Drosophila melanogaster: one gene and its partners. The protein of the gene in region 2 interacts with the protein of the main gene of each other region in a biochemical or structural test. Each region holds a gene or a part of one and is shown on either strand. Other genes may lie near its edges. The genes, in order: sev, Dab and drk.

Region 1 (3,755 bases), on a different chromosome or scaffold from region 2:
CGTTTCGATGTTTTGGTTCGCGCCGGACGATCATGATCATCCAATGCCACCAAGTCCATTATGCAGACAGTCGGGCACTGGGGCATCGATTGGTGGTGAATCATCCAAAAACAGTTCCCAAATCGACACAATACACCATTTAATATAATATAATTTTATGTTACGTTAAGCAACCAATTGAATTGCTTTACAACGTATAAACTAACTCTAGTTTCTCTTCAATTGTCGATATAAATAAAACCTTTTACTCAATAAACTGAAAAAGACTAAAACATCAATGACTAAACTGAGAGAAAGAAATAAATATTTTTATGCAAGACCAATTTGTAGTGCTACAAAATTGCAAATTTCACTACAGTTCAAGATTGAAAAGAGTTTGCATGCAAAATGTGCACAATACGTCAATCAGAAGGTGAATTTCCGGGGTTGTCCCTTTTTTTTTCGAAAAAAATGCGAAAATCTGATTTTCACGTGACAGTCTGTGAAATAGGTATGTAGCACCTAGTCCGCCGGCGAATCCATTGAGAATCGCTCGGGTTGATAAGCCGCATCTTCCGTCAAGTGTGTGTAATAAGTTTGCCGTCTAATCAATTCCAGAATATTTCAAACGATTAGTACGAATTCGATGATCCCAGGCGGGAGATTGGATTTCCACAGATTATTCGGGCCAAGAAATTGTGCGCACGAGTGCAGTTTGGATGTCTGCGGCACATCCTTTCCGTTGGCCAAAAAATCCATAAGCGAAAGGGATACTTGGACTTGATGGCGGAACCGGAAACGGAAGCTGTCACGCAAGCCTTTCACTCGCCGCTCAATTTTTCATCCCGCAGTGTCAGTTGTATGAGTCACGAGTCATGTGTAACCGGAAAATTGCCTACTCTTGTGTGCTTCAAATGCTCGGAAAATGCTTTAAAATATTGCATATTTCTTAGCTTGCGAGTTTTTGATTCTACAGAGTAAAAAAAAAATACCTAAATGTTTGTGTAAATCAATGAAATTAATAGCTTAACTTGTTTTCTTCATATTTCTCGGTTAAAAAGTTATGGAAATATGATATTTTGTAGTTTGATAGAAAATTTTTAATGAAATTTCTATGACTTTCCACATCTCGTTTACTTTTCATGGAAATACACTTCTATTCACCCCAATTGATGACTTTATTTTCTGATTGTGTGGGCTAGTTCCCTATTGAATTCAATTATTTTCAAGCGTTTACTGCTGCTTGCGATCAATTAGTTTAATAATCAATTTAGGTGTGCTGTTAATGCTTAGCTAAATGTAAAGAGTGAGTCAGCTAAACGATTTAAACAAATTTTCTGCCACGTTTATTTGTTGGCGAAAAAGCGCGTTGATTTGCGCTATTCATGTGACGATGTTTAGAGTAAATTGAGTTGTATTTTAAATTATTTCTGTTAACATTTGTAAACGAATAAAGTTTTTTTCCATTGCAAGAAGTTGAAATTTAACCCTCTTTGGATGTAAGCTTTTCAATATATTTAGTCTTAATAAGTCTAGCTCAAAAATAAGTACTATAATTTAATAATTATATACATTTTACATAGCCTCGGCCCATTACCTTAATTTTAATGATACAAAGATGTTACTATGTAAGTCGGAAGCTTATTAAAAACCGAAAATCATCAAATCAACTAGATGCACAATGTTAAGATCATGTTTTTATTAAGATTATATTTTAGATAGATACTCTTGAGGTGGCATTGGTTTCTTGAGATGGAAAATACATCTATCTATCTATGTATCTATAAGAACTTAAATATCTGGCGGCCTGCTTGCGATCTGCGATCAACCGATTGAGTTGAGCTTTGACCCATGGAAAGAGGAGCGCGGTGGGCTATCTACCCATGATATCCAGTTTAGGGGTTGCCCTGCCAATGACGTCATAGTTGCTGCGTCAACGAAAAAGAAGATCAATGGTCATTTAAGATCGGTTCGGTTCAGTTCGGTTCGGTTGCGGTGCGCTTCGTCACTCATCGTTCATCGCATCGTATGGTATCGTATGGTATCGTATGGTATCGTATCGCATCGCATCGCTTCGGTTCGGTTTCAGTTCCGTGCTCAAGTTCTCCAGCTGGGGGGTTGGACTTGGACTTGGAGCTTGGGGCTTGGTTAAAAAGCCGCCGCTCGCCGGCAAATCAGTTCTGCTGCGATCGCGCCACTGCGCACTACGTAACGCTTCGGGAATCGCACATCCAGATCCAGATTCAGATCCACATCCAGATATCTGTGACATTTTGTCGAGTGAGTTGCGTTCTCAAAGATACAAGATACATCCGTGCGCGTATGTGTGTGTTTGCATGAATTTCGGCTCTTTTAATACCCTTTTTTTTTCGCGTGCACTAAGTGTTCCTATGTGTGTGTGTGTGGAGTTGCTTTTCAGTTGGGGCCGCAACTGCAACAATAAAATGCAATTAAGCCGCTCAAATCAACAATAAATTGAATTAAAGCGCGTGAACAGCGCTTAACAACTTCAACAGCGGCGATTCGAGCGAAATGTGGGTGAGAGTTTAAGGCTCCATCGGTTTTGACTTTCTGATTGTACAAATATGTATATATATATACTATAGCATACATACCTTCGACTAATTAATGCAAAACGCTGGCCGGCAGCTTTTGCATAATATTCTCTGAATAACTTTAATGCAATTAATCCCGCTGTGATCTTTCGTGTTTTCACTATTTCGCGCGGTTTATTCAATTTGAATTTCAATTTATTTTCGGTTTTTCTGTTTCATTTTGTTTATACATATATATATTTGTTCGGTCTAGTCTGCTCATCGGGCGATTTAATTAACATTTTCCGTGCTGCTGTGCTGTTGTTGTTGCTGGTAAATATGAAATTAAAGTGCAATTAACTATTATATATACATATATATATATATACATATATATATGTATATCTATGGTTTTGCTGAACTTGCGGACAAAAGGGATTTCCGTTTTTGAAAGTGCGACTCCGCTCGATTATTCTCCGTCCGTCGAATGTGTTTGCATCTTAATGAGGATAAATTTGTTATGGCCACTTCCCGTTCGCTATTGTTGTTGTTGTTGTTGTTGTTGTTGTTGTTTTTGCTGTGGTCGGTCGAAGGGGGCGTGACTTATTGGCCATGCATTACGCCATGTTAATTGAAACTTGTCGCTTGGCTAGCTGATTATGCAGACGCCATATTAATTGGACCATGGACCATGAGAGCATGGACCATCCATGTCCTCTAATCGAAATCCCGGCGACATTTGGATGAGTTGGGCGGTGGAAGCTGGCCAAACCAGTTACGGAGATCATTGGGATTTTGGCTTATCGATCCGGACTTAGATTGTGTGTGTGTGTGTTTGTGTTTACCCTGTTTATCTCGCCGGCAATGTGCGTTGAACCTTTGAGCTGCATCTGAAATAAGTAGAATGCAATGTAGTTAAGCTTTTTCTTGGGGTATATTCACTTGCCTACTTATTTTTATTAATTATTTTCCAAATATATCAAATATATATCAAATATATCAAATATATTATATACATCAAATTTTCAAATATGCAAATATCATTTAATGCTATTGGTACAGCTATTAATCAACTATACATGTAAATTGTTTATGCTTGTTACACTAAATTGAGTAATAATCCGGAAAACTCATGATAATTGACGGTTTGACAAAAATGATAGTAATATAGCATTTTGCAAGGGCAGAACTGCCACTTTGTAAATACAGTGATTGGAGTATCTATTAATTAGACAAAACTTG
Region 2 (3,755 bases):
TATTCGGATAATTTTGGTTTGGCGAAAATGTTTTACAGAGTGTAGTGGTCACTCGTCAGTTTTGGAAGCCGTGGGATTTGGGGTGTGGCTGATTTATTTTGAGAGAACCCACATTTATGAACGTTTTTATTTAGCACTGTTACAAATTTTGGCAACATTTCAAAAAATTTAAACATAAAAAAGTTACAAAAGGAGTATTTAGGAAACGGAACTATAATATAATTAAACCATCTAGTCCGAAATTAAAAAGAAAATGCTTTAATATTTGCAATATAAGATGAAATGGCAAGCAAACTAATTACTCATTAGTTTATCAAAAGAAGTATAATCCATTTCGACAAAACTCTATGGATTGTGCACAAATCTGGGTTTATTGGACCGAATCCCCATTAAAATATTTTGAATGATTCATTTTTCAAATTTTTCGAGTAATTATGTGCTTGAATGAACACTTGTGTTCCTCGTTGGATCATCCAATATTTAAAATGATGCTTTGATGGAATGCAAAATCTATATGGATTATATATTTTTTATTGTGGTATATCAAATTTGAAATTTTAAAAATCTTCATTCAAGATCAAGAAGACTTTCATTGTTCTATTCAATATTTCGCATCACTTTTCATTCCTTCCGCTGGGAACTATGATTTAAAAACAGTTTTATTATTTCTTTGCCTTCCGAAGCATCTTTATTACAATTTTATACTGAATGCTAAAACAGTTTTGAACGTCTAAGTAGAATTTAAAAGATTTTTAAACATGTATGTACACTGAAAAACTTCTTCTGATCATCTTCTTTATCTTCAGATTTTTTTATAAAGAACTCGATTCTTTGAATATCAGCATTTATTGTATTAGTAAATCTCAATTTGCTATAGTGATAGGACCAATATTGATTTTTTATATATAGCTTCGTCTTATCAGCACAATATCAAAAAAAATTTTCACTGTGATCTTCGCATATGTTTGTATCTTGGTTTTGTTTGCCCTTTCTCACTGCGGAGGGGCCACTGTGTTCGTTTGTTTGTTATTTGTGTATTTGCTTAGTTTGTTTTCGCTAACGTTTTGCGTAATTCGTTTCCTCTGCCGCGCCGCTGCCGCCGCCAAAGGTGCTGGCCAACGAGAGATTGGAGGAGGCTGTGGACAACTTGGCCACCAGGGACTTGACCATGTTTCGCCCGGCCGAAGTCTCAGTGGGTACTGCTCCTGCTCATTGGGAAAACGCTGGCTGGAAAAACTCTGGAATTCTGGAACTCTGGTCACCGAAGTGTCAACAGAATCAGTGTAGCATTCCGGGCCTCTCTGTTGTGTGTGTGTGTGTTGACATTTCCATTGGGACGCGGACGATGACGAGAGGGTGTTGGTGCTGGAGGGGGCACACAATGGGGGACAAACAATACATAAATTCCACAACGATTTTTCGCGACGCTATAGATTTAATTAAATTCTAGCGGAGAACGATGCGCGATCATGGAATGAATAAAAGCGAATGAGAGCGTGGAAACGATTCGAATGCTCTCACGGTGACTCTCTTTTTCGACTGGACTGGATTGTCGCAGTTTGTTCAATTGAAATAATAAACAAAAACACACACACACACTCTTTGAGGCACTCGTGTGTACACATAGATTTCACTCTATTATTTAGTGATTTTTGTGGCGCAAAATACAGTACAGAAAACGAGCAGCTCTCTCGGCCATTGTTGATCTTTTTTGGGAAAACTGCAACACCTGCGACGCCGGCGCAGCAGCTGCTATTCGATTGGCGGATGCTGTCTGAGACGCTTATCGATAAGCCGGGTCTAGCATTGAATCGAGGGATCGATCAATAGGATATATCGGAATTTGAAAAGCTAGCTTCGGCCAGAAATAAACCTAAAACGTTTAGTTTTACTTAATGGTGAGGAATTTACTTTGTCCCTGCTCATAAGTATGATTAGCTTTTTAAGTAAACAAAGGAGAACGCTATGGTCGAATTACGCAGATAATAGAAGTGCGAGGGAGATGCAGGAAGGAAAGTAGAAAAGTTGACTGACAAAATATTTACCACCTAGAAAAGGTCTATCATGTCTCTACAACATGGCGTATGAGTGTAATTTGATATGCAGTGCTGTTAAAAGGGCAAAGTATCTTTAAAGAGAAACAATTTAGGACAGTTTTTCTTTTACTGATTTCAGAAATATTACTTTAGAACTTCGAAGTAGGGATGCCTGTGTTCAAAATACATAATATACCCTAATTCAATTGACAATACCAAATAAATTCGTTGTTGACATAAAACACTGCAATTTAAATCAATGTGAATGGCTTGCGTTTTTAGTTGATAATTTCATCATTCCTCACTAGCAAAAATTTCAAGAAAAAAAATTTCTTCCCACAAGAAGAATTACTTTAAAAAGACTTTATAGATGAAAAAATTCCGTTTTAAGGTGTTATTTGTATTACTTACATTTACAAGGACTCGTTTTCTTGCGCAGCGTCTGCATTTTGCTCAGAAAAAGCTGATTGGCATTCGTGTAGTAATTCCTTTGGCCGCGTATAATGTTGCGAATAATGATTGAGCCTTAAAGAGCTTTATTTATTTATGATTTATTGGACTTCCTTCGTTGTTTTATTGCTAATTGCCTTTTGTGATTTGTTTACACTTGTTTCGCTCTTTGCGTCTTCCGTCTCTTTCGCACTCCCCAACTTCCTGACAGTCAGCGTTTTGTTGTTGTTGTTATTGTGCCAGTCGGTCGATAGAACACACCGGCATTTGTCTCACTCACACTCGCACGCGCTCACACGGACACGGCACGGATTATCGATTTTCCAACGGGGGCCTCTGTGTGCGTGTTTACTTCCACTTTGCCTACTTTAAGGCGTTGTGGGGGGTGGGAAAGGGATGTAGCTACGCCTTTCATTATGCAGCGGTAAGCTATCTAACTTCAATTAACTGTTATTCGTTGTTTTTGATCCTTTCCCGTCTTAATATTGCACAACACGCGCAGCTTTCTTTGTCTGGCAGCCAGGAAAAAAAGTGAAGCACAAAGAAGTGGGTGACACACTCGTGATTTTGGCTGAGCGAAAAAACCAATTCGACTCTTTTGGCAAATATTTACAAGCTGATTTTTACGTTCTTCCTGCTTTGCATGTTATTGGCCATTAATTTAACCCAATTTGAATGGGTTTGTAGTTTAATTTGGGTCCTACGCCCTGGGAGCAGCAGGATATGCACACACACCGAAAATTCGATAGTAAAACTCCAAGGATTCGAGGGTGGTGGGTCAAGTGCCGCGGGCACCCTGTACGCCAGCCGGTACATAGGCTATCGGTCTATCGACGACAACCGATAGGTAATTGCTCGTACTTGCGGTACACACAATTACATATGTTTATACAAAGGTTTGACATAAATTGAAACTATAATAGTAAATTTCTCTGTTAAGCTTTGATAGAAAAAAAAAATGTAAAGATTTTATACCAAGGGTACCTTAAAGTTCGATTAGCTATCAAGATATTATGTCGTTAAAACTCGTATAACCGTTGAAGATCCTTTTTTAAATGATGATTTAAATTTTCTTGGTATTTTCTACAATCGAATAGATGGTCACACTGCAAAGCAATTTCTCCACAAAACAGTGGCGCCATTACGGCCGAAAAGAGAACTCAAAAACATAGCAAGACATCGAAAAATATTGCACCACAACCTTGCAACGGTCACTTTGCTCGCAGTCTGCTGCGGTCACTCTATTCGAACGGAACGGAATATTTATCG
Region 3 (3,755 bases), on a different chromosome or scaffold from region 2:
GATGAGCGAGTCCTCCGCCGGCGAATTCGCCACTGAGTAACGCGTAAAGTCGAACTTTTTCTTTGCCACCGGACCTGACGCCTCTTTCTTACCTTCCGGCAGCAACTGCCTTTTCACCGAACTTTCTCCTTCAGCTTTGACCGGTGCCACCGGGCTCAACAAGATGGTGTCGCCAAACGCCTCCAAAAGATGACCGCTGCTATTGTTCGACTTGCACTGCGTTGATGTGGCCTGGTCGATAAAGGGATTATGGATATCGTCTAGCGGCGTGAGAGGCGGTATATCTAGCGTGGCTGCGTGCAGCAACTCGGCTTTGAGCTGAGGAAGCTTTCGCACGTTGTCCTGAAGCCTCGTGTACTGGCTCTTTATCTTGGTGGCCTTCATTCGTATGGAGTGACTTGCTGCCTTGCTGGTCGCTCCAGCTGTGTCCTTGAACTTGGCCGCGGCACCACCTCCGCCACGTATAGGCTGTGGTTTCACGACATTCGCCCGTCGTGTCACTGGTGCCTTGTTTCCTAAAGGTTTCTCGAACGGCTTGGACAACACATTGGGCAGTCTAGCTGTCCGTGGCGCTGGCGGCTCAGGTAATCTTGGCTTTGTGCTGACCACTGGTGGCTGTTGTCGTATGCCTGGCGTTTTCGCTTTCGTGACTGTCGCTGGGGTGGGTCTGGGTATGGTGGTAGTGATCTTTTTCGCTTCAATCCCAGGCTGCCTTACACTGGTAGTTTGCTTCGTTGTGTTGGGAATGGGTCGTGCAGCTGCTTTTTGCCTGGCCAAGGCCACTGGATTGTTGTTCTGACGAATTGCAGGCACTATTTTTGTTGCAGAAGCAGCTGATTTATGCCTGGCCAAGGCGGAAGATGCAGCCACGGTATTGGATGACGGAGGAGCTGCTGCTGACGTTGGCTTGGGTATTGAAGGTTTAATCGGTTCTGCGGCTTTTCCCTTGCCCGTCGGATTGGCAATCATGTAGAGAGAACACCGCTTGGGAGGCTGGAACATGGGAGCCGCCTCCTTCTGCTTTGCAGAAGCCAGATTATCGGGAACCCGAAATGTTTGTGATTTGGGCAAGGCCTTTGATTGTTTTACTGTCGGCACATTGATGGCTGCGCCTCGACGTTTCTGGTCTTGCTGCTTATGCTCCTTGGTCTTGGCTATCTTCCACTCCATGTAGCGTTGTAAGTAGAGCTTCTGGCGGGAGACCTTCGGGTTGGATTCCTTCAGCAGTTCTGCGGGCTTCGTGTCCAGCCGCTCCGGACTCTCCAGTTTGGGTGCCACATTTTCCTGGGTCAGAGCAGCTTGGGCCGCCGCCAATTGCTTTATTTTGACGGGCGTCGGGCTCACGCTGATGATGCGGTTCTGATAAAAACAATCCTCTCGTTTTTTGGCGCGCGCCGCCTGCAACCGATCCCTGTTCTCCTGGCAGTGATTGCGCGGACTCAGCACCAGCGATTGCTCCTTGTACAGTTCCTTGTGGCGCTGCATGGCGACTGCTGTGACGGATGGGCGAGTCAAACTGAAGTGTCCGGTTGGGAATGAAACGTAATGCTGACTTTTCCGGCGAAGCGTCTCCTGTTTTGATTTTTAAAATGGCGAAGCGTCTTGCGGTGTGACCAGGTGAAGGAAAACTACGAAAGCCCTGCGGTATGCCTCTCCCACAGTGTTGTGTTCAGTATATTTTCTTGGAATAATAAAGCGACCCGGCCACGGTCACGCTGCTATGAAAATAAAAGTGAATTACAAATTTAGCAGTAGTAATATGTTAGCCAAACCGCTCCCGCGCCTAATTAGTGTCGCTTAAGCTTGCAGCCACCCTAGCCCTTTGAAATTGTAAGCCCGGCGGCCTCTTTGCACGTGCCAGAGACTCGAAAATAGTTAGCCGCAACTTACGCATATAGAAATATAAGCGCCGCGTGTGTGTGTGTGTGTGTGTTTATTGGGGTTACAAAAAATAAAACAAACAACAACGTCACCGCGGCAGCATTGCCAACAGCAAGCACCCACGCCCTAGATTGCCAAATGTTAATTGTGTTCTAAGCGACACATTTCATATTATTTAAGGCAAATTACTTCGCATAACAACAAGTAATAGCCAAACATCGTCTAATTGCTTTTGCGGTACCTGCTTTTCCCCGAAATTCCAAATCGCAAGCTGCTGGCAACGCTGCCACGCTCACGCACACACACCCACACAGTGGCCGCCGTGGAGAGAGCGGCTCGTGTCTGTGTTCATTCTCTGTTGCTGCTCCGCCTGGGAATGTCGTCGTCGTCGGTGTATTTTTAATCGCTTTCTTCCCTTGCCTTCGCACAAGATATATTATTATTAACCGAACTGAGAAAAGCGCACTGCCGAATATCCATGATTTATCGTTTATATAATGTGCGCTAACTAATCGCGGATTCGTCTCGTTTCGTTTTCATTTCCACAGCACTGAGTAGTGAGTGAGAGAGAAATTCAAAGAGAGTTAGAGAGAAAGAGCAGAGAACGAGCGTGTGTGTCTGTGCCTCTGTGTGTGCGTGTGTGTGGTGCATCAAGGCTGATAGAACTAAATCCAAAACTACAATTGCAACTAAATTTTAAAACAAACTCCGAAAGCGTTTTCTAACTGCGCACAAAACAACACAGCAAAATGGAAGCGATTGCCAAACACGATTTCTCTGCGACGGCTGACGACGAGCTGAGTTTTCGCAAAACTCAGATTCTAAAGGTGAGTGCTGTTCCAAAATCATCAATTCCCACCTCAAATCATAATATCTGCATTTATTCATAGACTTCACACTGAATGGGGGCACGCAAGGGTGTAAGGGGGTGCACAGGGGGACGTGGCAGGTCCTGCATGCATAATCCGCTGCGATGCAGCTGCCGCCGTCCAGGTCGTTGCCTTAACCCACATCCTAGGTTCAATCCCCAGACAGATTTTGTTACTAAATCGCGACCAAACAGACAGCAGTCGCAAAAGCTGGCTAAAGAGTTTCAAAAGGTGCATTCGCAGAAGGCAACACGAAAGGATTACGACTCATTAGCCACCGCAGCCCGAATACTCTTACTAGAACGAAAAGATTCAGTCAAATATATTCCACTATCAGTACAAAATCCTTGTGAAGCATCACATACTGAAATATTGTACATTCTACTCTACATTTTTTCATTTCTCAACTGCACTTCAAATCTATCAAGACCATATTTTTGACCCCATTTAATCTGCATATAGTTGTGATTAGCATTACAAAGTAAGTTTAAAAAATGATGTGAGGAGGGGGTTTCTAAAGCTATAAACATGCATATATGATTTAATCTATATACTATACTTTGCAAATCTAGCATTTTTCACTGTGTTTCCTTGAATGAACTTATTTATTGTTAGCATTCCTATAGTATATATACTATTTCAACTTTCCTTATTCGTTTTCTTCCGAATGCTTAGAAAAACAATTCCAACAGTTTGTAGTGATGATATATTCGATGCCCCCTTTGACTTTGCGGAACTTTGTGGGGGACATCCGATGCTTACCCGTGTTGCTTGTATTCGCTGGCTTTTCTGGCCAAGAAAAAGGCTGCTGGCAGGCTGCGATTCGATCTTTTTCGCCGCCTTGCTTCCTTCCAGGTGTTTGTGTTTGTGTTGGCTCACTGGCTCGATGGCTGGCTGGCTGGCTGTCCTAGGCCAAACCCTTTGTTTTGGCTGGCGAATTTTCCGGTTTCTTGTTGCCAGGGCGCGATGTAAGCTGATTTTCGTTGCTGTGTGTCTACCTTGTCG

Evidence for each region.
Region 1: the proteins of Dab (region 2) and sev form a complex in vitro, tested with the Drosophila melanogaster proteins (one study listed by BioGRID).
Region 3: the proteins of Dab (region 2) and drk form a complex in vitro, tested with the Drosophila melanogaster proteins (one study listed by BioGRID).

Annotation. Positions count from the first base shown.
Region 1 is NC_004354.4:11,084,700-11,088,454, reverse strand, and holds the start of sev (sevenless), read left to right. Parts: upstream 1-2,155; 5' UTR 2,156-2,259; intron 2,260-3,755. UniProt on the Drosophila melanogaster protein: Receptor for an extracellular signal required to instruct a cell to differentiate into an R7 photoreceptor. The ligand for sev is the boss (bride of sevenless) protein on the surface of the neighboring R8 cell.
Region 2 is NT_037436.4:16,711,627-16,715,381, reverse strand, and holds the start of Dab (disabled), read right to left. Parts: upstream 1,723-3,755; 5' UTR 1,171-1,722; coding exon 1,062-1,170; intron 1-1,061. UniProt on the Drosophila melanogaster protein: Together with Abl, involved in embryonic neural development. May have a role in eye development. Acts as an adapter protein for SH2-domain containing proteins during sevenless (sev) signaling.
Region 3 is NT_033778.4:13,500,766-13,504,520, reverse strand, and holds the start of drk (downstream of receptor kinase), read left to right. Parts: upstream 1-1,679; 5' UTR 1,680-1,830; exon of another isoform or gene 1,831-2,596; 5' UTR 2,597-2,630; coding exon 2,631-2,708; exon of another isoform or gene 2,709-3,047; intron 3,048-3,512; exon of another isoform or gene 3,513-3,755. Other genes in the region: mars, read right to left, coding at 1-1,485.